2 linked regions of the Arabidopsis thaliana genome follow. The protein of the gene in region 1 interacts with the protein of each later gene in a pairwise test. Each region holds a gene or a part of one and is shown in the gene's direction. Other genes may lie near its edges.

Region 1 (16,312 bases):
ATACTATCCTGGCATGTAGAGACAGAAATGGTGCTGAAAACTTCACGATAATCAGCAGATAAGTAACGGATGCAATGATCTACACGAAGAGGACTAAAGATGCTGATACTATTCTGCTATTTGTAGCCTAGGAGAGAAATCACTACAATGAACAAATCTTCCTTATTGGTACATCCTTTATATGACTCAAAGATATTATAATCATACCATGAGGAGAAGCAAATAAATCCCTAAGGATAACTCATAAAGAGACTATAGTTTTCAAAACAAATGGAAGGAAACAGTGTTTTCATTATGTGATCATAGTCATAAAGTATTAGGAGAAAGAATCGTTTTTTTTCCTTAGACATCCACCTAGTTGGCAATTCTAGAGATTTGCTTTCAGGTGTCAAAGATAATCAGAAGAGAACATTACCATGATATATTGGTAATAAATCAGGCTGTACCAACTTCGACATCATCTGAACCATCAGCTGCCGCTACTAAAGGGCCCTTCAAACCATTTTCATTGTGACCGATAATCTCACGAGCTGCCTTTTCAAGAAAGTCCTTCGCAGCTGACTGAACAGACTGTTTCTCATTTGATTGGTATTTCCTCTTTCTCGCAGATGTTTCAGAATACCTGATCCTCGATTTCTCTCCTTTACTGAGGTCTCTAATGCTTTGCTTTTGGGCTAGATTCATTTAGCAATGACTGTTAGAGAAACAATGATATACAGTAAAAGAGAGAGGTGGAAACAACAAACTGTACAAAAGCTTACTCGATGTAAGATCAGGTAGAGAATGTTCGATGAAACGGGTTGCTGCCTGACGGTTTAAGACAGTGGTCGGGCGCAAAGGTCCTACGGTAAAAAAAAAAAAGAGAAATAGATAAGAGAACATTTAGAGGATAAGATATTGATTAGAGGTAGCCATTCAATGTCTAACAAAATCGAAATGACTACAAAATTTCCTTATCAGATAAACCAAACATCAATTAGACAAGTTAAATATGAAACGATGTGCATGAAAAGAAATACTTTCGAGAAACTAAGTCGAACTAGTCGGCCCATTAGTACCCGGTAGCATATCGACAAAACGATTCTTGCCCGAAAGGCCCACGAGTCATTTCACAAAAACGCAGAGCACAAGTGTTACCAATTGAGTAAGCACTTTCTAAACGGAATATAAAAGCTCGTTGATAAACAAAGATAAGACACTAGCCTCCAAAATTTGAGATAGTAGACAAGAACAAATGGATCTTCCACAATAAGAAAAAACTTCGAAAAACATCGCGAAACATTAACATCAACAATGAGCCACAAATAAATTCAAATCAAATAAGTTGTCTAAATGGAAGTAAATCTTGACAAAACAAAGTTGAAACTATCCACTTTGATTTTAAAGCTATTCAACGGAAAAACAAATACAGAGAAACTAGATCACGAATCAGTCTCCCTAATTTCATTCAATAGACTACGAGAGGAAATCTCCTTTCAATATAAGATGATAGGTAGATGCAATAGTAAGGTGACTAAAAGATAAGTCCAGAACAATGGATTAGGCGCGATTCATTATTAGAAAGCCTTCCAATGGAAATACTACTTCCCTGCATTTAAGATGGGTACATGCAATAAAGAGTCTTTCAACGAAAATCATCATATCTACCAAAAATAAATAAAATCATCACTGAGCATAGAACAAAACAAAGAAAACAATCTAAAGCAGATACATCATCCCAACAAACAGAGGATCAGAAAAGCAAGTCCTCGGAAAATGTACTAATCAACGAAGAGGTTAGCACCTATCTGCCTAATATTAAGACTGGCTAAATAAATTCTAAGCTGAGAGCAAAATCCTTGAACACGGTTGAAATATTATCCCCAACAACTTTATAAGGTAAATGGATGCAGCAATTCTCCAATGAAAAGAGAAAGCCTTCTAATGGAAACACTACTTCCCTGCATTTAAGATGGGTACAAGCAATAAAGAGTCTTTTAAAGAAAATCATCATATCTACGAAAAATAGTATCAACACTAAACATCGAACAAAACAAGGAAAACTATATAAGGCAGATACATAATCCCAACAAACAAAGGATCAGAAACGCAAGTCCTCAAAATGTACTAATCAACAATAAGGTACACAGAGGATATCATTTAACGCTTAAGAAATCGTTAGCACCTATTAGCCTCTAAAATTACGAAAGGCTAAATAAATTCTAAGCTGAGAGCATAATCCTTGAACATGGTTGAAATATTATCCCCCAACAAAGGTAATTGAAAGCAGCAATTCTCCAATGAAAAGAGAAAGCCAAAAAAACTTGCTTAATCCACGAGACAATACAATGGCCAATTCAAACTGAAACAAATGGTTTAAACCAAAAGACACACAGAACCAAACAAGTTTTTGATCTCTCTACAAATCAATCCAGGCACCAGAAAATCAATCTTTACCTTTACTTTGATCAACACACTTCTGAAACTTCTCTCTGTACACGTTTATCCGCTCCTACAAAACCAATACTACCATCAATCAAACAACAAAAGATACCATTTTGATTAAGTTAACAAGATAATAAGAGAACTAAAACATCCAAAGACACATACAATTTCAGATTTTACACGATGATCATCAGGATCAACACCAGTACATCTCAACCTCACTGTAAACACACAAAACAACAAAAAAATTCAAATTTATCACAAACAAACAAACTTCAATCGAAACAGATTCACAAAGAAGAAAGAGTGTTACGTTCGTAAAGAGTAGTGGTGGCTTCAGCTAGCAAGTGCATAGTCTTAGCTCGCTGTAATGGTTGCATTGCAGCGAGAACCTCTGGCTCAGCTAAAGTCAGCATCTGCTCAAGCTGTGGCTTCAGTTCCTTGAGGTACGCAAGTGTTTGATTCACCGCTTCAATCGCTGATTCCGGAACCACTCCTCCAGCTCCTCCGCCGCTACTTCCTCCACCTCCTTCCATCTTCAATCGAATCGAGAATTTGAAAATTGAAAAATCCGGCGTAGATAGACTCAGAGGTAAAGAGATTAGGTTTCCGGTTAGATTCTCTGAGTCGCCGACAAGTGTTGAAATTTTTATCTTTATGGAGATGAAGAGGCGCTAACACAATCGGGAAAGAGTGACGTCAGCATTATCAAATATGGGCCGTTAATAGGCCCAAGACAAGTCAAACATTTAAGGCCCATTAAACTAGTGAATTTATTTTTATGAATTATTAAAAGGTTTCAAACTCAAATGTAGATCAGATCGGTGATTGATCAGATCGGCGGCGATGGATGGTGGCGACGATATGGATTCCCTGTTCGAAGGGATGGAGCTTTTTACACCGGCGTCTCAGTTCTCCGGTGACAGCAAGGTAAGCTCACCGCCTCAATCTGAAGAAACCAAGGCGGCGGAGGCGACACTGATCACGGCTCCTTCTCAACCAGATGTGACGGAGGCGACACTGATCACGGCTACTTCTCAGCCAGATATTACGGAGGCTTTGGACGAGAATCTGTTTTCAGACTTAACGATTGTGACTCCGGTTCAACACCAACCTGAGCCGATGGAGGCAGTTATCACTACTCATCAATCTCCGGCGAAGAATTATGGACGTCAGGTGTCACGGAGGAAGAAGAGAGCGGCTGGATTAAGAATTGGATACGGTAGGCACGAAACCAACAATCTCGACGAAGACGAAGATGATGCCGTTAGTCAACAATCCGATTCCGTTAGTCAAGTATCAGATTCAGTTAGTCAAATATCTGATTCCGTCGCGCAAGTGTTTGATTCCGGTAATCAATCTTTAGACTCTCCTGTTGTTACTGTGGTTGTTGGTAATGGTAGCTCAAGGTTGGAGTTAGTTAAGGCTCAGATCGAAGCGAAGCTAAATCGTTCTCGTGATTTGGCTGCTTCGGTTACTTCTGCTCGTAAGAATGCGATTAGGAAGAAAAGGCAAGCATCTGAGAATCTCAGATTAGCTTCTACGACGCACGAAGAGCTCGAGAAGCAGCTTGAGGAAGCGATCGAGACAGAGGATTTCGATGCGGCTGAGAGGATTAGCGAAAGCCTCGCTGCTAAGGAAAGAGATAGGCTAGCATTGTTGGCATTGCTTCGCCAAGCGGAATCTGATTGCGATGCTATTGAGTCGAAAATGGAAGAGGTTCTTCTTTCTCAGATTGCAGCTGAAGAAGAATCTGCCTGTCTGCTTCGTAGTTTTGGCACGGATGCTGAGAATGATGCTGGATCGATTCTGGAGAAAGCAGAAGCTTTTTATTCAGATGAAATGGAGAAATGGCATTCATGTTCTGAAGATGTTGAGGTTAGAAAAGTCGAATTGGATATAGAATCTGTTGTTGTTGATAACGTTCGGTTGTCGTTGAATGGTATTCTTGAGGGATCTGTTGAACAAGATATGAAAGAGAAGGAGATACTGCAGAAGAAGAAAGAACATTTGGCAAATGAACTTGAGGAGCTGCTTGCTTTGGTGAAGGCAAAGGAGAAGGAGATTGACGAGAACGATTCGCAAATAGAGGCAGTTGAGGAAAGAATTAACAATGTGGTGACTGGCTTCAAGGAATTGCAAACAAGTATGGATAAAATGTTAAACGATGTGCAAGCTGGTCTCACTGAGGTTGACAAGGAAACTGAAGATTTATCAAGGAAGAAGAAAGACGTGGACGAGTTCATGACATCTGAGAAGGAGAGAGGAGCCAAACTTCGTGATCTTGCCCGTGTTTCAGCGGATGAAGCTTGTGAATATGAGGAAGTTATTAAATTGCGGAAAGGTTTGATGTCATATGTGTCTAAAACTAGAGAAGAGAGAGCTAAGCTTGTAAATATCGAAGAGAAGCTTTCTGAGGAAGTACAGAAGCTACAAGAGGAGGTTTCCAGTACCCGAGAGTTACTTAAGGAGCGATCTTCTAAAAAGTCGATCATCCAACAGAACATTACATCTTTCATGGATAAAATTATGTTCATAGAGAAAAGGATGCCGGAGCTTGAAGCAGAGAAGAAAGTGGCTGCATCAACGAGAAATTTTAAAGAAGCTGGAAGAATAGCTGCAGAAGCCAAGTCTTTAAATTTAGAAAAGGATAAGACACAGATGGAAACAGGAAAAGCTAACGCTGAGCTCGAAAAAGCAGAGCATGAGATTGAAGAAACCATCAAGAGGCTACAAGAGATAGAGAAGTTGATTTTGTCGAAAGAAAAAGAATTGGCTATTAGTAGATTCCAGAGGTTGCGGATTGACAGTGGAACTGCAAAAGCTGAGAGATCAGCTGCTCTGGAACTGAGCGACCTTGAAGAAGCTAATCTTCTACTTGAGGAAGCGCAAGAAGCAGAATCCGAGGCAGAGAAGCTTAAACTCACAGGCGGTCTCAAAGAAGAGGAAGAGGAAGAAGAGAAAGCAAAATCTAATGAAGTTTTTGTCTCGATGGAACTCATAGCCACCGTTGGTCTGAAAAAATTACAAGAACTGGTGGAATCTGTTCCATCTTAACTCTGAAACTGCTTCAGGTTCAATCCTAGGGACTACAGGAATGTCCTGAATCATCAAGGAAAAGAACCGAATGGTTGGTTTTGTAAATCTATCAACAACATTAAGCTCCATAACGCAGTCCACGTATATGGTTTTTGTTTGGTTGTTTTTGGGATCCATGTGTTGATCGATTTGGTTGTTCAAAGAAAAGAGAGAAAGCTTATTCTATTCAAAATGTTACGAGGATAGAAACACCAGGAACTTTTTTTTGTTGGAATATACTTTCTTTGTTTCTCTGTTTACTTTAGATCAAACTGTTGATTTGGTAGGTAAACATTGTTGTCTTACTAGTCATTGTAATTTAAAAATTGTAAACTTGGCTCGTTATGGCAATTCTGTTTTGAATTTTTATTTGTATTGGACTTGAGTAGTCTTATGACACCTCTCCGTCGAAATGTCTGGCTCTCGCTGTAAGTAACAAAGTGGGATGTTCTTGGATGCTATGATTTTACATAGAGAAGTTGAAGATGTTGATACCATTGTGGAATTGTAGCCTAGGAAACCACTATAATGAACTTTACTTCATCATCATCTGAACCATTCTTAACTAAGATAACCAACTCTAAATATATGAAAATATTCTTTGTGGGAATAATATATAAAGATACAGTTTATGTAAAATTTTACTTACTCCAAATCACTTCTAAATATGTATTTTCTTATTTATATCACTCTCTAAATCTCTCTATTAAATAGAACGTTAACTCTTTAACCTCAATCTCAAATTTCAATTCTTCTAGTTATAATTTATAAACAACAGCAAAAAAAATTTTGTTCTATTACAAATATATGTTAACACTCATAGTTATTTTAAAAGTTTTTATTTTTGAAACAATATATTCTTTCCAGTTTATAATAAATATCAATTTAGATTTAAATTTTGTTTATTATCATTTTTTGTATATGTAACTTTTTAAATTTATTTATCAAAATTTTATGCTTACGCAATAATTAATTTAAAATTCCACAAATTCTTAAAAGACGACTGAAAATACAAATATTTTATCCTAATTATTATTTTTCCCTATCTCCCGTTTTTAGCTCGTCTTGTGTTCTCTCCTCGAGCCCTAGCTCGCTTCCTGATCAATCGTCACCTTTCTCGATTCATCCAAACCCTAGTTCCGAATCAGAATCCATAGTCTTCGTATCTTTCTACTTTGATCTTTCTCAATCATCAATTCGGCTTCTCTGTTTCGTTGGGTACAAGTTTCCCGAGGAGCAGTTGGATGCTGAAACAATGAGTTCATTCTCGATCACTCGTAAGAAAACACCATTCCAGAAACACAGAGAAGAAGAAGAAGCTAGGAAGAAGGTGAGTTGAAATTTTCAATCGATTCATCGCTATTCCTGGGTAGAATTTGAGAAATTTGTTCATCGGAGATTGATTTGATTGATTAATCGATGGGGTTTTCGATCTTAATCGCAGAAAGCAGAGGATGAAACGGCTCGTTTGTATCAAGAATTCGTGGAATCGTTTCAAGGGGATAATGCAACTACTAAGACTTTTGTTCGAGGTGGGACGATAAATCCTGGTGACAAGCCTAAGGTTGATTCTGAAGGTTAGTCTTTGCAAAGGCTACACAGCTTTTTAACTGTTTGTTTACAATTGCTTCTCTCTTTGTGTGTACTTTGTTCTTTTTGATTGGTGTCAAATGGTTAGAGCAATGCTTTGATTATATTGGGAACGCATTAATAAGTGTATGGACCTTTTTTCTATGCGTTCGCGGATGGCAGGTGAAAAGTCCAAAGATGGGGGTTCGGTTTCAAAGAAGGGGAGTAGGTAAAACTGATTGCTTTTGATTGAATCAATCTCGCTTTGCTATCGTAGATCGAAAGAGCTTGGTCGCTCGTGATTTTGCTGATGAGTTATACACTTTTGATATGTTTGTTACCAGGCTTGAGTAAAATATTATTAATCATGTATTTGTAACTAGCTGAGGTCTTAGGAATGATGTTCTTGGGTATTGCTTGATAAGTTGAAATTCATTCGTGTATTCTTGTTATATAGAAGATTATCGTCCACTTAATCTTTGTAGGTATGTTCCCTCTTTCCTTCCACCACCACTGGCATCCAAGGGTAAAGAACCGGAGAAGAAGGTCAGTAGCATGGATTTTGTCACTGTAATTCTCTTGTTCATTGGGTTTGTTGTTTGAAGCACAATTATTTAGTTGTAAGTTCATTTATTTCATCTTTCTAGAGGGAGGAGGAGAGGCCTAGGGAAAGAGAAAAGGGAAAGACTCGAAATATAGATAATTTCATGGAGGAGTTGAAACGTGAACAAGAAATGAGAGAAAGACGAAACCAGGATCGTGACCGTCAGGGCGATAGCTCGGTTAGTTCATTATACTCTTGTGCTCTCTTCATCATACTCTTTTGCTCTCTTCATCGGTGTTCTGCTCTCATATTTACTCTGGACTCCCGGCTTTCTATACTAAACTTATTCTGTATTCAGCCATCTAGCCGCTTTGATGAGCTACCTGATGATTTTGATCCCAGTGGGAGGCCAGGATCGTTTGACGATGGTGACCCACAAACTACGAATCTGTATGTTGGGAATCTGTCCCCAAAGGTGTTTTTTCTTTTCTTACTTGGATCATATGTTGTTTTCTCTCGCCATTGTATTCTTAATATTCATAAGGTATAATTTTATGCTCACGTAGGTTGATGAGAATTTCCTTCTGCGCACTTTCGGAAGATTTGGGCCCATAGCTAGTGTCAAGATTATGTGGCCAAGAACAGATGAGGAGAAGAGGCGACAAAGAAACTGTGGCTTTGTTTCCTTCATGAATAGGGCTGATGGACAAGCTGCAAAAGATGAAATGCAAGGTTAGCTAGCCTCTCTTCTATCTAGGACTCTCTATTTTAGCCTTGGTTAGAAATCATTTTCTAGGTAGATGCAACATGTGTGATATATATGAGAGATTAAAATGGATAGTTGAACAAGAAACGTTTTAGGCATATTAGTTTGAGTACTTCAGTTCAACAAAATTTGATTGGTTTCCTTGTTGATCGAAACATATACCCAGTGGTTGATTAATGTTGGAAACTAATGACCCTTCTGGCATTATTGACTAGTCTATCTGTCTATAGTCGACTGGTTTTGTACTAACTATATACCTGATTGCATGTGACAATGTTAAAGAAAGTTATGAAGGAAAATTTCCAATTTTACAGGGATCATCGTGTACGAGTATGAACTGAAAATTGGATGGGGTAAAGCAGTTTCTCTACCGTCACAAGCATTACCCGCTCCACCACCTGGACATATGGCTATTCGGAGTAAGGAGGTTTGTGATGCATCCTGTGCTGCTCTTCTAGATATATTTCTTCTTTAATTCTGTTCACTAACCTATGTATGGCCCGATCTCTGAATTTATTGGTATTTCCTTGCCATTTTTTGCATAAAAAGTTCTGCCAGTTTTATATCTCTTTAGTTTAACTCTAAAAACTTTAAATATTTCATTGGCAGGGCTGCAACTTGGTTTTTTCTGGTCAAACGGGTCCACCGATAATAACTTCTGTTCCAAATCAAAATTCTGAGCTGGTATGTAAACTTGGTTCCACATGGCTTGAATTGGTTCTTTATAAGTTCTATATGATATTCGTGGAAGGCTTTTGAATTACTTTATAGTCCAGAAATGTTACTGTTAAGTTTCAGAATTGATTGTCTTTATTTCTTAAAGTAATGAAAGACAAAAGCAGAACTAAAAACCAAACTTGGGATCAATTCTATTTGTAGTGCATCCTCTACTTTCCAAACCCCCAATGGCACTAAACCAGTCCCCAGATACTTGAAACTTCTCAGTACTTAATGCTTCTCTTGTTTGTAATGATACTGATTCAAGTAACTTGCTGATACGGCACCTATAGTTGACGACACTCTTACAGCTGCCCGTCTTTAATAATCTTAATCCATATGTACTTCCGTTGCATTGAACAGGTTCTTACCCCTAATGTTCCGGATATCACTGTTGTTACCCCTGAGGACGAGCACCTCAGACATGTCATTGATACATTGGCACTCTATGTTCTGGATGGTGAATGTGCTTTTGAACAAGCTATCATGGAGAGGGGCCGTGGGAATCCACTGTTCAAGTTTATGTTCGAGCTTGGCTCAAAGGAGCATACTTACTACGTCTGGAGACTATATTCCTTCGCTCAGGTACATTTTGATTGCCTTTTAACTAGGCATATATTTGCATTGTCATAAGCTGATTGAATATTTTTGCATTGTTTAGGGTGATACACTTCAAAGGTGGAGAACAGAGCCGTATATCATGATAACTGGTAGTGGAAGGTATTGAACCTTGCCAACTTTGAAACTGATCCGGGTGTTCGGTTGGTTTACCTTTGCATATGACATCTGTTGTATTAACACTGTCTATTTGCTCTTATTGCAGATGGATACCGCCACCACTGCCTGTAACTAGGACCCAGGAGCACGAAAAAGAGTCTGCCAGCACTTATGCGGCGGGAAGAACCAGAGTAATCTTCTTGCACTCTTACTTCTAATTTATTTATTTCTTTTTCTTTTGTTAGCTAAGTTGTTCTTTTGGTGTGCGGGATACCTGACACTGTTAAATCTTACAGCGTGCGGAAGTTGAGAGGACTCTGACCGATCCTCAGAGGGATGAGTTCGAGGACATGTTGCGTGCTCTTACTTTAGAAAGGAGTCAGATAAAAGAAGCTATGGGTTTCGCTTTAGATAATGCAGATGCAGCTGGAGAGGTACAATATGTTCTGACTTATATATTTCAGTACATTTAGTTGGTTTTTTCTAGACACCACAAAAAATTTGAACAGAACTACTCGTTAATAAAATAGATATTCATATGCCTCTTCCTACTTATATATGTGTACTTAATTCCACAGGTTGTTGAAGTTTTGACGGAGTCCCTGACTCTAAAAGAGACATCAATTCCAACCAAAGTTGCTAGACTCATGCTTGTGTCTGATATTCTTCATAATAGCAGTGCACGTGTTAAAAATGCATCTGCATACCGAACCAAATTCGAAGCAACTCTACCTGATATAATGGAAAGCTTCAATGATCTGTACCGAAGCATAACTGGAAGAATTACTGCTGAGGCTCTAAAAGTACTGTCAGAAAGAAAAATGATCGTTGATGGTTTTCATTCCCTTATAAATATACTTTTCTAAACTCTTTCTGACTTTTTGCAGGAACGGGTTCTCAAAGTACTGCAAGTATGGGCAGATTGGTTTCTCTTTTCAGACGCATACATATATGGACTACGTTCCACATTTCTCCGATCAGGAGTCTCTGGTGTTACCTCATTTCATTCTATCTGCGGTGATGCACCTGAAATAGAGAACAAAAGTTACGCTGACAATATGAGTGATATTGGAAAGATAAATCCAGATGCTGCACTGGCAATAGGCAAAGGAGCTGCAAGGCAAGAGCTGATGAATTTACCAATTGCTGAGCTTGAGAGGCGTTGTCGGCACAACGGACTGTCTCTTGTAGGAGGTAGAGTAATGATGGTTACCCGGCTACTAAGCCTTGAAGACACAGAGAAACAACGCGGCTATGAAGCAGTGGATGAAATTCCAAAGCATCCGCAAAACCATTCAACTTGGGAAGAAGTTAAGAGTGAGCGGGAGCATATCAAGAACAGCTACGCAGAGGTTGAAATGAAAGAGCCTGTGAATCTACCCACGACAATACCAATCCCACAGCCTGAGCTGAAAGCCTTTGTGGGAAAAGAGAAGAATGAACTCATATTGCCAGCTTCAAAATGGGCGAGAGACGATGATGAAGCTGATGATGAACAAAAGAGGAGCTCCTCTTCAGGAAGTGACAATACTGGTGGGATAACTTTCAAGGCCGATGGCGAGGATCTCAAGGGAAATGATTGTGTCCGTGCCCAACCTGACAACGGAATGGACGAGGAACAAAGGTATGATCAATGCATCTCTTTATGAAAAGATATTAGGAAAGTAACTTAAGCAAGCAAAATATAGATTAAAAAACACCAATTTGCATTATTGCTTCATGTTGGTGCTTGAGCATTAAAAACAACAAAGAATTCCTCGAAATAGTAACATCAGCGTAAGGGTAGTTTATGTTAGTGAGGGAGGTGTGTTCTTGTGAACTTCAATTGATTTGGTCTTTATAGAGTACACATTATTTTGTATTTTGGCTCTTACCCGGTTAAGTTGGATAATTGAGAGCCATAGAAAGCTTTTGGGCATATGCATCAATTGTATGTACCCAAATGTGCCTTACCTACCCATACATGAGCTTGCACCAATACTGTTAAAGTTAACAAGAAAATATGAGAACTTACTTTCAGTAGAAGTTGCTATTCAATTGTATAATCTGAAACTCAATAGACTTCTCCCTTGCTCTGTTTTTTGTTACTGCAGACAAAAGCGGAGACGCATAGAAGTTGCTTTGATAGAGTATCGTGAAACTCTTGAGGAACAGGGGATGAAAAACCCCGAAGAGATAGAGAGAAAAGTAGAAATAAACAGAAAGAGGCTTGAAGTCGATTATGGCTTATCAGGACCTAACGAGGGCAACAGAAATCGTAAGTTCTTACTTCTCACCCAACATACACATACTCTTCTTTTGTTTTGGGAAAGGTTGTTAATTTGCTCTATTTCCATTCGATGCAACAATGAGTGAAACACTATTAATGCGTCTCAAACACTATTAAATTAGGTATTCACACATTGATTTTAACTGCAGAGAAATCAATAATAGAGCGGAAGGAGAAGCGTGAAGATTCACAAGAGTCCTCTAAAAAGCGGCACCGTGGGGAAAACAAGAGCCAAAGTCCGCCACGGAAATCATCAACGAGGGAGAGAGATCATGACTTGGGGAGAGACAGGGATAGAGAGAGACACAGAGACAGAGATAGGCAACATGATTTGAACAGGGATCGAGATCGACGTGAAAAGAGTTCAAGCCACGATCGAGACGATAATGATAGAAGCAAAGAGAGAGACAGGGATTGGCGCAGACGAGGCACGAGATGATAATGATGATTATGCTTGTTCTCACCTCATGGTCTGTTCTCAAGATTTTAACCTTTTGTGTTTTTAAATCCAGAAGATATTGTAGAACTTGTTCTCAGACACAGCTTGTAATTTTGTATCCCAATTTCTGAAAGATTTCTCACTCAATTGTTTCTTCTACTGGATTCTTGTTTTTCTTATGGAACTATTTTAGAAATGTAAGTAGATTAGGTAGGTCCCCAAATTCACAAAGAATTGTTTCTTCTATACCAAAAACACACAAACTTGTTATGCATTCAGAGAAAAATGTAGTGTGTGCCTTTTGCACTTTCCAGAAGTAAAAGTGAAGTTCGGCAAAACTGCTGAAAAACTGAAGCATTTGCTTCAAACACTATAATAAAAGAACACTAGCTATCTTCTATCAACAGAGTGAACAAGAGAAGCCAATTCCAAATTCCGAGTTCCTTCTTTTTCATCTTTCTCTTCGTCCGAATCTTCGCCCATTATCTCATCCGGGAGCTTGAACGTGTTTTGATCTCCTTTAGGCACAAGAAACAGAAAACAAAGCGGCAAAAGTCTCATGACATTCCTGACCAAAACCGCAAGCCACAGGTTACCAAACTCAGTCCGAGTCACCTTGAGGACATGCAACATTATCCCTCCAAGCCAAGATGAGGTCATGAGGCCTGCATTGTCAATTGACATTAGCAATGCAAAGAACGTCCCTTCAATTCCGTGGGGACAAAGCTTTGAAGTGAGGACAAGCAGCGGCATCCATTTCAAGCGTCCGATCATCTGAGAAACTATCTCGTCCACTACTATGAAGAGATAATCCGGTAAACCAAATTTTAAGTTGAGACGGAACACAAGAATGAGGTCAAGCATTCCCGATAGAGCAAAGAGAAGTTGAGTCCACAAACAAAGTCCGCGGAACGGATGATCCTTTAGGACTAGTTGGTATAACGTTGCTGCTAGAATCGATCCGATTGAACCAATGGAGAGAATGAAACCAACTGTTTCCTAAAACAGACCAGGTAGGTTCTTCAGCATATTACTTATTTTGGGGTGAAGTTTGAAAATAGAAACTATTTGTTTTGGTAATACCTGAGCAAACAAAGGACCATCCTTTGAATCTGTGAACCAATAGAAGAGACCTTCATGTATGTTCAAACCAAGAGTAAGGGAAATGTACATATACAAACTCGGCCGCCACACATCTGAACACTTCATTGTCCTCCACATCGCTTTCCCTGCATCGGTAAATTTCTGGTTCACCTGAAATGATACAACAAGAGTCAATACCCTCATGATCAAGCTACCAAAGAGAGAATAATTATTACCTGTTTGTAAGAGAAACCAGGAACATGGGGCTCACTAAACACGATCCCGACTACCGATACTAACGCGAATGGGAATGTCAGCAATCCAAAGACACCCTAATGTCGCAAAACAAGCCAAATACAGCATTAGAGAGGAAACACAAATGAAAAAGATCATAGTAGACAGACGATTCATTAACCTTAGAGCCAACAAGATGAACTAAGATGCCACTCATAAAGAAACCAAGAAGTGCTCCAATGGAAGAGCTTAAACTGCATAAACTCTGCATATCCGATGCAAGAGAAGGATGTTTGATACTATTGTAAGCAGTACAAGCATCAATGGTTACATCAGCAATCGCCATTGCAGCACTTGATATTGTCATCCAAAACAGTGCCAAGTAAAGGTGTAGATTACTATGCAGTGAAATAAACAACAATGAAACCACTCCAAGCACCCCTACAAAAACAGAGTTTTGTACATTTAAAAGAGAAATCAAAGAGACTTTGATCGAAATTTCGAGCGAGATTTTACCTGCTAAAATGAAGTAAGGACGTCTATGGAAACCAAAGATGGGAAGAACATCAGTGAGAATGCCCCAAAGTGGTTTAATGATCCATGGAATCTTAGTGATTGCAGTGAGAGCTTGAGATTCAGAAGGCTGAACTTTTTGAACATCTTTCATATAATACTCTGTAGCTACACGACCTAATGAGCCACCAAGCCCTTGGTTAATTCCATATAGTGAGACTACACCAAACACAAAGCTCCAATGAAGCTCTGAAGACAACATCTTTAGCCACCGTACAGGACCACACACCACATTACGGAAATTACTTTCTCCTTTGACCACATGTACGGATCCGCCGTTTTCAAGGCTTTGCTCTTCTACTACCATAACTTGCAAGGAGGAGAAAGATTCAAGATTTGGCTCTGTTTTGAGCTTAAATGTTGAAACTTTTGATATGGGTTTGGTCTGAAAAACAGATCCGAGGGGCGAGGACAAGAGAGTTGTTTGAAGTTGGTATGTCTTGGATTGGATTGAGCTCAGATTATTAAAAAAAGGATGAATCTTTTGATGTAAGCAAGTCAAAAATCAAAGATTTGGGAATCAAATATGATGAATCTTGAATTAAACTCAAGAAACAAAAATGAAATTTGCACACATTCGTTGACCCTGTTTTCGTATGAACAACAAATGACCATTGAAGAAGAAGAAGAGAAGAAAAAGAAAATGAATAAAGAAACTAAAGGATAAAACTTAGATCAAGAGAGACGAAAGGAAAAGGTCAAAGCTTTTGCTGCTAAATGTTTGACCAGAACACACATCTTTCTTTGTCTCTTACTAAGAACATTCTTGTCTGTTTTCCTCTGCTTATTTTTTGCAATTTTACCTCAAAAATAGAAGCTTTTTATAGAATTTATAAGGTTATTAATTCAATAGAAGAAGATGAGTTCTTTGTTAAATGGAATTAAGCTTGGTTTTGCATCAAAGTCACCATATTACTTCATCAATACTTTTGACTTTTCTTTCTCTACATAAGAAGAACCTTTTTCGTTGTTGTTAAAGGTGAACGTAAGAATTTGTAATTAAAATTACGTAACTTTAAAGTATATTAGAGAATACAATGTATCTGAAAGAATTTGATTTATGTGTATAAGTTTTCTAATTCCAGTATTTCCCAAAATAAAATAAAATCCAAAAGCTTTTTGAAGAGTCGCCAAACAAAGGAACAGAAGTAGTTTTGTTTGTGTTTCTTAACCTAGTATATCCTCTTTAAATACGTGTTTGGAAATCGTTGGGTGAAATATAGATCTTGTCACCACTACTTCTCCACTGATCATGAAATACCAAAAAGCCCATTTTCATTTCTTTATAACAAAAGTAAATATATATATCCCAGCATTTTGGGATATTGTTGTCACCTTTATTGATAATTTATATAGACTTAGACAAAAGCTTGCCACCAACTACTAACTGTTGTTACTCTTTATTATATTACTTTTTTTATTTATTTTATAAAATACTTGAAACTGATAATCTACATGTACGTTTTTGTAGATTTTTAGCCAAAAATTCTTAAAGTATTTAGTATTTTCACTTTCAGTCTTTACAAAATTCATCTGATAATACTACGGTGAAATTATAGAATTAAGAAATAAAATTGTATAATCTTAAATACTTAACAAAACAAACAATATTAACAAAATAAATGTAATTTAAAATTTAAACTATTTTGTAAAAGGATATCGTTCTGACGTATAACCCGGATCAATCTCTAATGATATTCAACATTGGAGGATGTTGTGGTGGTTGTCATTGATAAACCTATTACAAAAAAACTAATAAAACTTCTGGTATTGTTTTAGAAACTATGAATCTTTTTTTATATTCTTTTTTCGCAAATATAAATCTTTATCAAGAAAGCATTTTAGAAAAATAATTTCATTACTAGAAAAAAGAATGCAAATAGCAAGTCACCTCTTCCA
Region 2 (14,172 bases), on another chromosome or scaffold:
TCAGCCATGTCACTTATCTTGGATGACGTTTCTCCATGAGTATGTGAGTTAAATGAAAATTTTGGCCTCCCATGATCTTTGAGACCTGCATATACATTAGAAACCCAACTCAGAGATTTCAGAAAATCGTGCATACATGATCTGTTTCTTTGAGTTTTCATACGTGGTGCAACGTTCTTTAACTTGTACGGTAAAAAAATACCAAGAAGAGTTTTGGATAAAACAGTACCATTACTACTTTTCTTGGCTCTGAAGCCAGATAGATGGGATGATGCGACTGAAGCAACACCATTCAAATGGATTAGTGACTTGGTTTCTTTACTTATAGCAGACCAAGTTGCCACTTGTTCATCATGTGTAATCTGAAGGCAACAACAATCACCATTCAAAACATAAGTAGAGGATACTGTCACCAATTTGAAGAACTTATCAAGATGCATGAGTGAAATGGACTCCAAGATTAGAAGGTAACCTCATCATCTGACCCATTTTCCTGAGCAGATATGCATGCTAATCCAGTTCTTCTGGAAGAAGAAATATAACTCTCCTCGGGGGAGTCAGGAACTTCGACCACATCTTCAAGAGAGGATGATATCTTCCGTAGCTAAAAAGGAAATTTCTCTCATCACCATTTGATTCCAATATTCCTCCAAAAAAGAAGCTGCACAAAAGAATTTGCAACGAAAAAGACTCACAGTTGCTTCCAGAGTTACATCACCGGTTTCCCTAGCATAATTTAGCTCACCACAACCTGGAAACAACACAGAAGCTCTTTGTGAAACTTGACTGAAGTTAAATAGTCGTAGAAAAGGCTTGACCGCAAAATGGATATATTATATGTACCTATGAGTTTTTCGAGCTTTGTTTGAAGTAGTAATCCTCTCTACAATATTGAAGCCAACTATGGTCAAACCACAATCAAATTCCCTATAGCTCCTCAAAAAAAACTACTCAAGCCAACAACAATCAATTCGGCAAATCAGAAGTTGCCAAGTTCTTTCTCAAAGACAACTTCTCAGGAGTTCACAGAGAGCTTTATGCAAGCTTAACGAATCGAAAGTTGAGATTAAACATTACCTCTTGTTCCTTCGCATTCTCCTTCGGCGAAATATCATTTTCTTCTTCTTCCTCTAAAAGACCAAACAACAGCTTGAGAATCACTCGATAGACAATGAAACACAAAGATCTAAAATCGAAATTTCAGATGAAGAAAAAGAAGCAATCATCAGTCCTCACCAGATATGCTCTGATCGGAATCTGGATTCCCCTGATGATAATCCAACAAGAAAAAAGCAAAACAGAAAATCAAATCAATGTCCTGGAAAGAGAAAAAAGCAAACAATTCTCAGCGATGCATAACAGTCACCGGTAAGTTACTTCGCCGCCACATTCGCCGTCACCGTTCAAATCGATCTTGCCGGTGTTCGCCTTTGTACCGTCGTTTGCCCGTTAGTATGCTTGGATATGGGCCCTTGTCTGAGATATTCACTTCTTCTTTTTTGTATAACTAATTGGGCTTTAACAGGCCCAATTCAATAAAACTCTTCCATGTTTTATAATTTGTTTTTTATATCCCACATTTTAGAATTAATCTACATATAGAATTTTGGGCCAAAATATATACTATTTAGTTTTTATTTCCTACAATATCTATTTAAAAAAAATATTGTTCTAGGTCTTTTTAACGCTATTAATTTCATTCGTTATATAGAACCAATGTAATCAGAGTGAACATCCCTATTGTTCTAAATTTATATTCTGAACTAAATATTATCATCATTAAATTACATTTAATTAATTGCTAATTTTTTAATTAATTAAGTTTTTATAGCATAAAAATATTAAAAAGATACAAAATCGTCTTGGAAGTATATCATACAAATATTTTTGATAAAAATATAGGTCTATGGTATATCTCTTAATATGCTATTTATATATATTATATTAATTAAAATAAAAATCTTTAACCTTTTTTCGAAAATATTAAACCGAAATATACCGCGGATCAATCTCTAGTTAATAGTTATAATTAGCAAATTCCTTAATTTCACATTTTTGTACAAATACTGCTCTTCAATAATATAAGGAGAGTTATTTCATAATTTTTTGATTTTTTGACCAATAAAAAGAAAACTTGTTAAATTAATCACAATAAACACTAATTCTAAATCGTAATTTGGAAATACATTAAAAACATTATATATTTCTTAAAAGGTTAAAGATATAAATACATACACATTGATTTTTTAGGACTCGGAATCCAAGGAACCAATGAAGTATTATTCATTTGAGTCACGGGCTTGTTCATATGTCTTTAGCATACTTTTTGAATCAATCAATCTATGATAGTCAGGTGATAATGTGAATAGTTGGCTGGTTGAGTCTCCAGTCGGGTGCACTACGACCACTTTAAATCCATTCTCTATGAGATCTAAAATCACATCCGCAAACCCTCCATCACCCGTCATCATCGCTATAACACTTTTTCCGATTTTCTCTTCATATCATATCCTCTTTATGTTAGAATATATAAAAAAACAAGTATAAGGTTCGCTGTCCGAATAATTTTGAGTCTCAAGAAGGTTGACAATAAGAATAACTTGTTTATCAATATTTCTTTTAGTTTAATTTTTTTTAACTTTTAAAACCAATAAAAGAATTAAAAAATTATAAATACTTTAATTTAATTTTCTAAAATTGATGTATCTATCCATAATAACAAGTAAAAATTTGTATTATGTATAAAATGATTAAAATTATACTATAAAACAGAAAATAATTTAACTTTAAATAAATATTAAAATTTTAATTTTAATTTTAGTATTATTTATTAAATTACATGACACGCCTTCCAGAAGATCCACTGCACCTCTACTTTATCTGTAACAAAATATTACTATCCTTTCATCTAACGGTTAAATAGGAAATCCACCGTAGTCATTGATACAGCTGATTATTCCCAAGCTCGAAACGAGAAAAGACTAGAGCGCGCAAATTTTGAATATATTTATTTATTGTCTTTACTTTCCATCAAATTTTGAAGAACGAAAGAACACTGTTGGCTAAGAGGAAAACCCTAGGAACCATCAACCGAGAAGAACGAAGAAGATTCGAAAGATGGAAGGGACATTGGAGCGACACTATTCTGCTTCAATTCGGTCAATTTTCGAAGCTTTCTTTTGAGAATCGTCCATCGTCGAATGTTGCTTCATCGGAGTTTCAGGGTCTTCTCGATTCGGACTCGTCGGAGCTCCGGAATCAGTTGGGCTCCGCTGATTCAGGTGCCAATTGCGGAGATAAGGACTTTATTCTTAGCCAAGACTTCTTCTGGTAAATCTTCGGCATTTCCTGTAACACAATTCTGGTAAATCTTCGGCATCAAATCAGTACTTGTAAGTATCTGTAACACAATTCTGGTTTAGTTATTCTGATATCTTCCGTAGCTAAAAAGGAAATTTCTCTCATCACCATTTGATTCCAATATTCCTCAGAACAAGAAGCTGCGCAAAAGAATTTGAAAACGAAAACGACTCACAGTTGCTTCCACCGTTACATCACCGGGATCCCTAGCATAATTTAGCGCACCACAACCTGAAAACAACACATAAGCTCCTTATGAAAACACTTTCCTTAATCAGTTAATCTATGAACTGCAAGAAGGTACGGGAAACCTGACTGAAGTTAAGATAGTCATAGAAAAGGCTTGATCGCAAAATATATACCTATGAGTTTTTCGAGCTTTGTTTGAAGTATTAATCCTCCCTACAATATTCAAGCCAACTATGGTCAAACCACAATCAAATTCACCCTATAGCTCCTCAAAACTAGTCAAGCCAACAACAATCAGGAATTGGGCAAAATCAAAAGTTCCCATGTTCTTTCTCAAAGACAAATTCTCAGGAGTTCCCAGAGAGCTTTATGCAAGCTCAAGTTGAGATTAAACATTACCTCTTCTTCCTTTGCATTCTCGCTTGGCCACATATCATTTTCTCCCAAACTAACATTGATGATCTCTTCCTCCTCCTCTAAAAGACCAAACAACAGCTTGCGAATCACTTGTTAGACAATGAGCGACCTAAACACTAAGATCTAAAATCGAAATTTCAGATGATAAAAGCAATCATCAGTTCTCACCAGAGATGCTCTGATCGGAATCTGGATTCCCCTGAAAATCCAACAAGAACAAAAGCAAAACTCAAAATCAAATTAATCCAACAATAAAAGAAATCGCAAAAGCAAACAATTCTCAGAGATGTAGAACAGTCACCGGAAGGTTTCTTCGCCGTCACATTCGCCGTCACCGTTCAAATCGATCTCGCCGGCGTGCACCTTTATACCGTCCTTGCCGTTAGTATGCTTGGATATGGGCCCTTCTCTGAGTTTACTTTCTTTTAGTATTAGTAATTGGGCTTTAATAGGCCCAATTCCCATGTTTTATATCCCACATTTTAGAATTAATCAAACATTAATCTGGCAATTCCTTAATTTCACATTCTAGTACAAATTACTGGTCTTTAGTTATAAGGATTAAGGAGAGTTAATTCATGTTTGGAAAAAAAAAAATGAGAAACTTTTTAGTTGTTTGACCAATAAAAATACAAATTGTTAAATTAATTAACAAAAAATACTAATTCAAAATTTTAATTAGTGAATCGTAACAAAAAATATTATATTTCTTAAGAAAGTTGAATATTTAAATTAGTGAATCGTAACAAAAAAAATGCTAGTGCTATTATAGAAAAAAATATTATTTATTAAAGACCCATCAAAGCGTACATGATACGCTCTACAGAAGATCCGCTGCACCTTTACTTTATCTGTAGCAAAATATTTCAATCCTGAAGATTGAACGGTCCAGAATTGATTATATAGGAAGTGCACCGTAGTCAGTCATGCAGATGACTATTCCCAAATTTTAGCTCGAAACTCTAAAAGACGAGAGCGCGCAAATTTTGAATTTATTAATTTATTTCAATTATTTTTCCTTAGTTGAATCACCACCCAAAGTAATAATATTCATCGTCATGTTCGAGAAGAACGGAAGAACACTGTTGGCGAAGAGGAAAACCCAAGGGACAATCAAAACCAGGGCATCGAAGAAGATTCGGAAGATGGAAGGGACATTGGAGCGTCACTCTCTGCTTCAATTCGGTCAATTGTCGAAGATTTCTTTCGAAAATCGTCCGTCGTCGAATGTTGCTTCATCGGCGTTTCAGGGTCTCCTGGATTCGGATTCTTCGGAACTCCGAAATCAGTTGGGTTCCGCTGATTCAGATGCCAATTGCGGAGAGAAGGACTTTATTCTTAGCCAAGACTTCTTCTGGTAAATCTTCGTTAACTCTGGCATTTCTTAGCTGTGTATATCTAATTCGAGATCTATCGTTATCTTCTAGGTAGTTGAATTTTGGGATTAGTTAGTATTACGATTTCAAGATCTGACTTTAGATTTGAGATGGTTTCCCTTATATTCACTTTTTAAAAATGAAAGCTAAACTTATGTCTAGCTAAAAGATGCTTGTGAGATGTTGATGAATGATGGTCTCAGCTACTAATAATTTCTTCTCTGGTTAATTTTTCCAGCACACCTGACTATATAACCCCGGACAATCAGAACTTGATGAGCGGCTTAGATATCAGCAAGGTAAAATTGTTGATTTGGATGTTTATTTCACCAATGTCTCAAATTTAAAGTTCTTCTCTTTATTGTTTTTGTAGGATCATTCTCCATGTCCTAGGTCTCCTGTTAAACTAAATACAGTTAAAAGCAAAAGATGTCGCCAGGGTAAGCTTTCTTTGGATTCAGATTTTGTGTTTAGTATGAGTAAAAAGAAGATTTTCGGATGAGAAGAAAATATACGTTTCAGTTTTTGTGGTACAATTGTTATCATTATAGTTATGTTTGATCTCCTGTTTTAACAACTGTCCAATATTGAATTCTTTATTGCTTTAAGATTCACACTAGTAGTATCTAGTGATTTCATGTTTTGGTGACAGTGTGTTCTTTGCTTAATTTTTTCATTACTCAGTTTTGTTTGTTTTTTTTTGTGTTTGATGCAGAGAGTTTCACAGGAAATCATTCAAATTCTACCTGGTCTTCAAAACATAGAGTAGATGAACAAGAGAATGATGATATTGACACAGATGAGGTGATGGGGGATAAACTCCAAGCTAATCAAACAGAGAGGACTGGATACGTTTCACAGGCTGCAGTTGCTCTGCGGTGTCGGGCTATGCCACCCCCTTGCCTCAAGAATCCGTATGTGTTGAATCAGTCTGAGACTGCTACTGACCCTTTTGGACATCAGAGATCAAAATGTGCAAGTAAGTTTGTTGTCCCTAAAATTCTTGCTCAAGAATTTCCTGAAGGCTTTAAAAATCAATAAGGCTTGGTTTCTTCAGTAAAACTGTACTAAATATACTGTTATGTAGGTTTTCTCCCTGTAAGTACAAGTGGGGATGGCTTGTCAAGATATCTCACGGACTTTCATGAAATCCGGGTAAGCGAAAGGGTCTTTTAGCTTGGAATTGTGATCATGACGGAATTATGTTGCTTCTTCTTACGTATTTTGGTTTGGTTTCTCCAGCAAATTGGTGCTGGACATTTCAGTCGGGTATTTAAGGTGTTGAAGAGAATGGACGGTTGCCTATATGCTGTGAAACACAGCACAAGAAAGTTGTATCTAGATTCAGAGAGGTATAATTTTCTCTAGTTTTCTTAGTAAGAGAAAGACACATATCTGCTGAAAATAGTTCATCTTGTTTGGATCGTTTTTGTTCAAGTAATCACAGCTGAATTTTTGCAGACGTAAAGCTATGATGGAAGTGCAAGCTCTTGCTGCTCTTGGTCAGTACAGTCCCTTCTTTGGCCTTCTTGTTCTCAAACTATTCTGTTATTCCCTGTTTGCAAGCTAAGCTCAGTGTAGCCTTAAACCGTTTTTATCTTGTTTTGTTCGTAGGGTTTCATGAAAATATAGTAGGATATTACTCCTCGTGGTTTGAAAATGAGCAATTATACATTCAACTGGAACTCTGCGATCACAGCTTGTCAGCTTTGCCTAAGAAATCTTCTCTTAAAGTCTCAGAAAGAGAGATCTTGGTGATTATGCATCAGGTAAACACTGGCTTCATTTTCATATAAAATCAAGTATAGAGATATTATTGATTCTTTGAATTCTTATATACATACCATTGTACTATGTCTCTTACAGATAGCAAAGGCATTACATTTTGTGCATGAGAAAGGAATAGCTCATTTAGATGTAAAACCTGACAATATTTACATTAAGAACGGTGTTTGCAAGCTTGGTGACTTTGGTTGTGCCACACGATTGGACAAAAGCTTACCAGTAGAAGAAGGAGATGCACGTTACATGCCTCAAGAAATTCTAAATGAAGACTACGAACACCTTGATAAAGTCGATATCTTCTCTTTAGGTGTGACGGTTTATGAGCTGATTAAGGGATCTCCTCTTACAGAATCAAGAAACCAGTCGCTCAATATCAAAGAAGGAAAACTTCCTCTCCTTCCTGGCCATTCGTTGCAGTTACAACAACTTCTTAAGGTATGTTATTTGCATTCTTACTTGTGTGTTGTCATGGCTGTCCCACGCATTGGAACATAGCATTTAAGACAGAAATTCTGACATGTTTCTTGAAACAGACAATGATGGATCGTGATCCGAAGCGTCGGCCTTCTGCTAGAGAATTACTGGACCATCCCATGTTTGATAGGATTCGAGGTTGATTCATAGAGTCTCTCAGATGTCGAGAACTAAATTTTGTAAATTATGGTACCAATGATCGGAGGAGGGTAATGGTCCATGGCCATGCACCAGTTTTTTTTTTGTGGAAAACTATTGGCGTAAAAAGATACCATGATCTTGGTTTCGGTACAAAAGATCCGGTTAACCAACAAAAACTGAACTGAATTAATGGCTATTGTATATTTGTGGAACTGAAATTGGGAATTGTATTTTCATGTTTCATTATAATCTCAAATGCCATTAGATTTTTATTGAGTTGAAACTGTTTGAAGAGTCTAATAGGGTAATAGGTCACACAATGGTAGAATGGTTAAAAGCAAAGCAAAATGGTGAAATCTTCACGGTAGTTTAAAACTTGTATAGTTGATTATGATCAAAACTCAAAAGTCTAATGATTTTACACTAGCTCTAAAGGTTATTTATTTACTTTTTTCTCTCCCCAATTGCGGTTCAATTTCTTGAAAAGGCAATATAAATTAATTAAAGAGGTGTTTAGTTTATTGCTTCATCACATGTACTATGTAAAAAAAAAAAAAAAAAAGAAGAAAAAGATTCTAGATGCTTCTGTTAAAATTTACTAATTTCCAAAATACTCTCTCTGTTCTAAAAGATTGATATTCTAGAGTTTTCACATATTAACAAACAATCATTATTTAATTATTTGTCAATCACCTTTTTAAATGAAATATTTTTTAATATCTTTGAATCAATAGTAGTATGAAATCTACAATTAATTAATATCAATCAATAAAAATTAAGTAAAATCCTAAAATTCAATCTTTGTAGAACAAACTCAAAATACTATAACATCAGTTTATCATGATATACTTCCTTAAAAGTATTAATCTTCATAGTTATCATAATTTTATATTAATAATAAAAAAATCTATAATACCTTTTTTATCATTACCACAAGAGAAAAAAAACCAACACATATATAATTCCAAATCACTACACCATAGAAATAGAAGAAACACATTTGTTAAGGTACATAATATTAAATGTTCATAGTTATAGAGTCCAGATTTCAACTTAAAAATGTTAATTGGTAGGTAAGTGTTTTTTCTACTTTGACCAAAAAGAAAAGGAATAAAAAAGTGTATCTACTTTCTATATATTATTTTCAAAGAAAACAATAACAAAAAACTTCACCGCCTTTCTCAAAGCCTCCTATATAATAATATCTTCTGTTTTCTCTTCTAGGCTTTAAGACACCAACTTCTCGATTCTCAGAGCTCTTCCAAATCCCTGTGAAATCGGATTCGAGTAATACTCTCGGAACCTTCTGGTACGTGACGAACCTAGGGTTTAAGATCGCACACTTTTCTCTTCACATGTCTCGATTTCGTACTCTTCTTTAGTCTTTCGCTGATTTCTTCTGTTTTTGTCACTGTTTCGCAATATCTGCTCGAGGGTTACGTCCCGTTTCTGTATGAACGATTTAGGGTTACGTTGGCTTCTTCTCTGTGCTTTGTTGATTCTCTGCGAAATACTTGATTTGATTGTTGTGTTCAAATTCCTTCTTCTTTCTCTCTTGGTGATTCATCGTGATGGATGCGTAATATCTTCTTATCGTTGTTCTTTTGGTAGTCTGATTAGTTTTAGTTTGTGTTTTGATGATATATAAGAGTATCATAGATCTCAACAAGTAAATTCTGTTTTAGTTATCTTGATTTCTCATCATGTCTTGTTACTTTATTGCAGAACCTTGTTCATCTCATAATGGCGAAGAAGGATTCTGTGTTGGAGGCAGGATGGTCTGTCATGGAGGCTGGTGTTGCAAAGCTACAAAAGATTCTGGAAGAAGTGCCTGATGAGCCACCATTTGACCCGGTTCAACGTATGCAGCTGTACACGTATGTCTTCTTATTATAATGTTTGTTTCTTGTTTTTACTAGAGTTCCGTTAACGGTGTGGATACTAACACACAGCGATGTGAATTCACAGGACTGTCCACAATCTGTGTACCCAGAAACCTCCTAATGATTACTCACAGCAGATCTATGATCGGTATGGTGGAGTATATGTTGATTACAATAAACAAACTGTGAGTAATATACCATGTTTGCGTTTGGGCTTTGATTCTGTAACGCTGTTCTGTACAACTTGAGCAAACGGTCTAATGTTTTTATATGTGATTAGGTGTTGCCGGCTATACGTGAGAAGCATGGTGAATATATGTTGAGAGAGCTTGTTAAGAGATGGGCCAACCAGAAAATTCTTGTTAGATGGTTATCCCACTTCTTCGAATATCTTGACCGTTTTTATACTCGTCGGGGGTCTCATCCAACACTGAGTGCTGTTGGCTTCATATCCTTCCGCGACCTGGTTTATCAAGAGTTACAGTCCAAGGCCAAAGACGCTGTACTAGCACTTGTAAGTATCTCTAACTGAGTAGCTCTGGTTTACTTATTCTGGTTTATCTAACGCAATTTGTATTGCCAGATTCATAAAGAACGCGAGGGCGAACAGATTGATAGAGCACTATTGAAAAACGTAATAGATGTCTATTGTGGGAATGGGATGGGAGAGCTGGTTAAATACGAAGAGGATTTTGAAAGCTTCTTGCTTGAAGATTCTGCATCTTACTACTCTCGCAACGCCTCAAGGTGGAACCAGGAGAATTCTTGTCCTGATTACATGATAAAGGCTGAGGAGTCTCTAAGACTGGAGAAGGAGAGAGTCACCAACTACCTTCATTCAACCACTGAGCCGAAACTAGTTGCGGTTAGCTGAAATATATAATTATATATTTGGAATAATCATATTTTGACTGAGGGAATGTTTAAGCGTTTTGATTGTTTGTTTTTTGTTTTGGATGCAGAAAGTACAAAATGAATTGTTGGTAGTGGTTGCAAAACAACTTATAGAAAATGAGCACTCAGGATGCCGTGCATTGTTAAGAGACGACAAGGTAATCGACTTGTGTTGGTTTCTTTAATTCTTAAAGAGTTCTCTTCTAAAATTCACTCTTTGACTGAGCATTTGGATATACTTTCAGATGGATGATCTCGCCAGGATGTACAGGCTTTATCATCCAATACCGCAAGGGCTGGATCCTGTTGCAGACTTATTCAAGCAACATATTACTGTAGAGGGAAGTGCCCTTATCAAACAAGCTACCGAGGCAGCTACTGATAAGGTTTATATTCTTTGCTCATTCGAATATTAGATGTTAGTCTACTCCTTTTTTTATTGCTGAGAATTACGTACTTCCCCAGGCTGCAAGTACTAGTGGACTGAAGGTGCAGGACCAGGTGCTTATCAGACAATTAATTGACCTACACGATAAATTCATGGTCTACGTCGATGAGTGTTTTCAGAAACACAGCCTCTTCCATAAGGTGTGTGTATGTGTGTGTGTTCACATGTCTATCTTGTTTTCCACACTATATTATTTAATGACCATAGTTTCTTTGAATATATTGTAGGCATTGAAGGAGGCATTTGAAGTCTTCTGTAACAAGACAGTGGCTGGAGTGTCCAGTGCAGAAATTCTTGCAACGTATTGCGATAATATCCTCAAGACGGGAGGGGGAATTGAGAAGCTTGAAAATGAAGATCTTGAACTTACGCTTGAGAAAGTAGTTTTCTTCTTCCTTCATATATACTGCTAATAATGCCCTACAAATATGTCACTTTGATGCTGACTTTTTTAATTTTATTTATTACAGGTGGTTAAGTTGCTTGTTTATATAAGTGACAAGGATCTTTTCGCCGAGTTTTTCAGGAAGAAACAAGCCCGTCGGCTCTTGTTTGATCGCAACGGTAATGACTACCACGAAAGAAGTTTACTTACAAAGTTTAAAGAACTACTCGGTGCGCAGTTTACTTCTAAGATGGAGGGCATGGTTAGTCACATGAGTTTTATTTCCTTTGAAAACGGGTTGCTTATTTAGTAGTAACGAAGGTTAATAATGCTTTTTTTTTTTGTACATTCGATTTGTTTCATATAGCTGACGGATATGACATTGGCAAAAGAACACCAAACCAACTTCGTGGAATTTTTATCAGTTAACAAGACCAAAAAGCTGGGGATGGATTTCACTGTCACTGTACTTACTACTGGTTTTTGGCCAAGTTACAAAACAACCGACCTCAATCTACCCATTGAAATGGTAAGTCGTTTATTTTGTAAGTCTTGAAACAGAAAAGAAGAAGATTGTCTGAGCTCCAATTTTCTTTTTGTTTCAGGTCAACTGTGTTGAAGCTTTTAAGGCCTATTATGGAACAAAAACCAATTCCAGGAGACTTTCATGGATTTATTCTTTAGGAACTTGTCAGTTAGCTGGAAAATTCGATAAAAAAACAATTGAGATAGTAGTTACCACCTACCAGGTATGTTTCTGGTTTGTTGTCACTTGGTGATGATGTTTATTTGTACTTAAATATCTTGTTTTTTCTTCTGTCAGGCTGCTGTGCTTTTACTCTTCAACAACACAGAGAGATTAAGCTACACTGAGATCTTGGAGCAGCTAAACCTCGGCCATGAAGATCTTGCCAGGCTGCTTCATTCACTATCATGCTTAAAGTACAAGATTCTTATAAAGGAACCAATGTCGAGAAACATCTCCAACACCGATACCTTTGAATTCAACTCCAAGTTCACCGATAAGATGAGGAGAATTAGGGTATGATGATATTTTCATTAGCGTTGTGTTGTTATTTTCATGTAAGCCCGGATCAAAAATGATGTGTTTTTCTTGAACAGGTGCCTCTGCCTCCGATGGATGAGAGGAAGAAAATTGTTGAAGATGTTGATAAAGATAGACGCTATGCAATTGATGCAGCTCTTGTTCGGATCATGAAGAGTAGAAAAGTGTTGGGGCATCAACAGTTGGTCTCTGAATGTGTTGAGCATCTCAGCAAAATGTTCAAGGTAAATACAAAAACTCTAATTCTGTAAATGTCTTGTAATTTGTGTCCATCAAGGAAATTTACATATTGGTTTTATTTATTTGCAGCCTGATATAAAGATGATAAAGAAACGGATTGAGGACTTGATCAGCAGAGATTACTTGGAGAGGGATACCGACAATCCCAACACTTTCAAGTATTTGGCTTAGTCACAAATTGTAATAGAGAAAAGGTTTTCGGATTTTCGGTTTTGTAAATGACTCTTACATTCTTTTGTCGGATCATTGGATGGATTGGTGATTGAAACAAACAGATTTGTCTCATATTCAAGTCGCAATTACATACATACTCTGTGCGGTGATGGTGATATGAAAAGAGAGCTTGAAAATATATTCGTAATTGTCAGGAAACAATTGAGTAATTTTTGTTTCACGATCCTTGGAAGACTATTGTTAACCCTAAAGCTCTCTCATATATATATGTACAATTAATAATTATACACACAAAACACAAGATGGTTACTTTAATCTTGAGCAAGTCTCACAAATCAAGGTCCTAAACGCTATACACTGGAGCAGTGAAGAGAGCAAAACAAGTTTACATATATAGGCCTTCTTTGTCTTCAATTTTCCAAGGTCGCTTTCCTTTCATCTCCCTGAGTATGACATGTGGGGAGTTTTGCATTTTTGATATTAGAGTGAGATGACACATAATTCATAATCACCGGTTTATGGATTCCATTGCAAGCCTCACCACATGCAACAGTTTCTCCATGTCCTGAAAATTGAAGTCAAGAGCCCTTTTGATGCATGTTATACCATTACTACTGTATCTCGTTTCAAACGATTTTCCCTTTGCAGCTGCTAATGCAATCTGCGCTTTTCTTGATGCTTCCATAGCGTAGTTTACGTTTTTCGACTGCAACACCCAAAAACAAAACACATTCAACCGCACGATTGAGATTAACTTTGACTCCAGGGAAATACTTGGTATATGATGCAAGATTGTTACGCAAAATTTGATATGTTTGATGATGGTTCCTATTCATGTTGCTCAAGCAAGCTATTATCCCACTACTTCACTAAAAACCTGTTGATATTTCCATAGACGGGAAATATTTAGTCGTCTAAACCCAGCCTAACTAACTGGAGCAGCTACAATGTTTTGTAAACATAAACTTAAGTAGAAATTTTTTTACGGCACCTCATCAAATCACAAAAGTAACCTAACTGAACTTACAAATGCCAAAAGCTGTGAAAGAGAGGAATTGTTTCCTGAAGAGATAACATGGTTTCCGGTTACGCTAGGGGATGATCTCACAGTGTTGGACAAAGCAAACTTTTCCGCTGTTAATGTGTGGTTTGAATTTTCACCATCAGAAGCAAAGGAAGGAGATTCACCTGTTTCAAACCCAAACAAAATGGAAAGATAATTCATCATAATCATGCTCACAGGCAACAACATCTTTAGTCTTTATTACAATCTTGTATCTGTCTTAATCTAATGAAAGAAGTTCCTTTTTTAACAAAACAACAATCGAGCCGCCTATCTA

Evidence for each region.
Region 2: the proteins of RRC1 (region 1) and WEE1 interact in a protein complementation assay, tested with the Arabidopsis thaliana proteins (one study listed by BioGRID).

Annotation. Positions count from the first base shown.
Region 1 is NC_003076.8:8,630,430-8,646,741, reverse strand, and holds RRC1 (RNA recognition motif (RRM)-containing protein), read left to right. Parts: upstream 1-6,524; 5' UTR 6,525-6,757; coding exon 6,758-6,832; intron 6,833-6,946; coding exon 6,947-7,079; intron 7,080-7,254; coding exon 7,255-7,300; intron 7,301-7,556; coding exon 7,557-7,617; intron 7,618-7,718; coding exon 7,719-7,853; intron 7,854-7,973; coding exon 7,974-8,090; intron 8,091-8,181; coding exon 8,182-8,347; intron 8,348-8,695; coding exon 8,696-8,808; intron 8,809-8,990; coding exon 8,991-9,065; intron 9,066-9,461; coding exon 9,462-9,683; intron 9,684-9,759; coding exon 9,760-9,818; intron 9,819-9,921; coding exon 9,922-10,006; intron 10,007-10,111; coding exon 10,112-10,249; intron 10,250-10,393; coding exon 10,394-10,618; intron 10,619-10,702; coding exon 10,703-11,439; intron 11,440-11,908; coding exon 11,909-12,072; intron 12,073-12,233; coding exon 12,234-12,523; 3' UTR 12,524-12,913; coding exon of another isoform or gene 12,914-13,522; 3' UTR 13,523-13,606; downstream 13,607-16,312. Other genes in the region: AT5G25080 (Sas10/Utp3/C1D family), read right to left, coding at 436-674, 762-842, 2,437-2,491, 2,590-2,645, 2,738-2,960; AT5G25070 (neurofilament light protein), read left to right, coding at 3,271-5,481; AT5G25050 (Major facilitator superfamily protein), read right to left, coding at 12,914-13,522, 13,607-13,777, 13,843-13,938, 14,022-14,281, 14,357-14,720. UniProt on the Arabidopsis thaliana protein: As a member of the SWAP1-SFPS-RRC1 splicing factor complex, modulates photomorphogenesis by regulating the gene expression and pre-messenger RNA (mRNA) alternative splicing of a large number of genes, including those involved in plant responses to light signaling.
Region 2 is NC_003070.9:668,384-682,555, forward strand, and holds WEE1 (WEE1-like kinase), read left to right. Parts: upstream 1-4,922; 5' UTR 4,923-5,024; coding exon 5,025-5,323; intron 5,324-5,580; coding exon 5,581-5,641; intron 5,642-5,715; coding exon 5,716-5,782; intron 5,783-6,057; coding exon 6,058-6,321; intron 6,322-6,429; coding exon 6,430-6,497; intron 6,498-6,584; coding exon 6,585-6,694; intron 6,695-6,803; coding exon 6,804-6,844; intron 6,845-6,956; coding exon 6,957-7,111; intron 7,112-7,208; coding exon 7,209-7,562; intron 7,563-7,660; coding exon 7,661-7,744; 3' UTR 7,745-8,036; downstream 8,037-14,172. Other genes in the region: AT1G02960 (kinetochore protein), read right to left, coding at 1-85, 230-362, 473-604, 696-751, 844-883, 1,078-1,130, 1,237-1,267, 1,367-1,390; AT1G02965 (uncharacterized protein), read right to left, coding at 3,278-3,400, 3,536-3,591, 3,723-3,762, 3,949-4,023, 4,135-4,165, 4,268-4,431; CUL2 (cullin 2), read left to right, coding at 9,486-9,619, 9,711-9,810, 9,906-10,139, 10,209-10,490, 10,588-10,677, 10,765-10,905, 10,985-11,107, 11,195-11,347 and 6 more; AT1G02990 (uncharacterized protein), read right to left, coding at 13,341-13,538, 13,860-14,020. UniProt on the Arabidopsis thaliana protein: Cell cycle regulatory kinase that is not rate-limiting for cycle progression under normal growth conditions. Transcriptionally activated upon DNA stress or damage in an ATR- or ATM-dependent manner.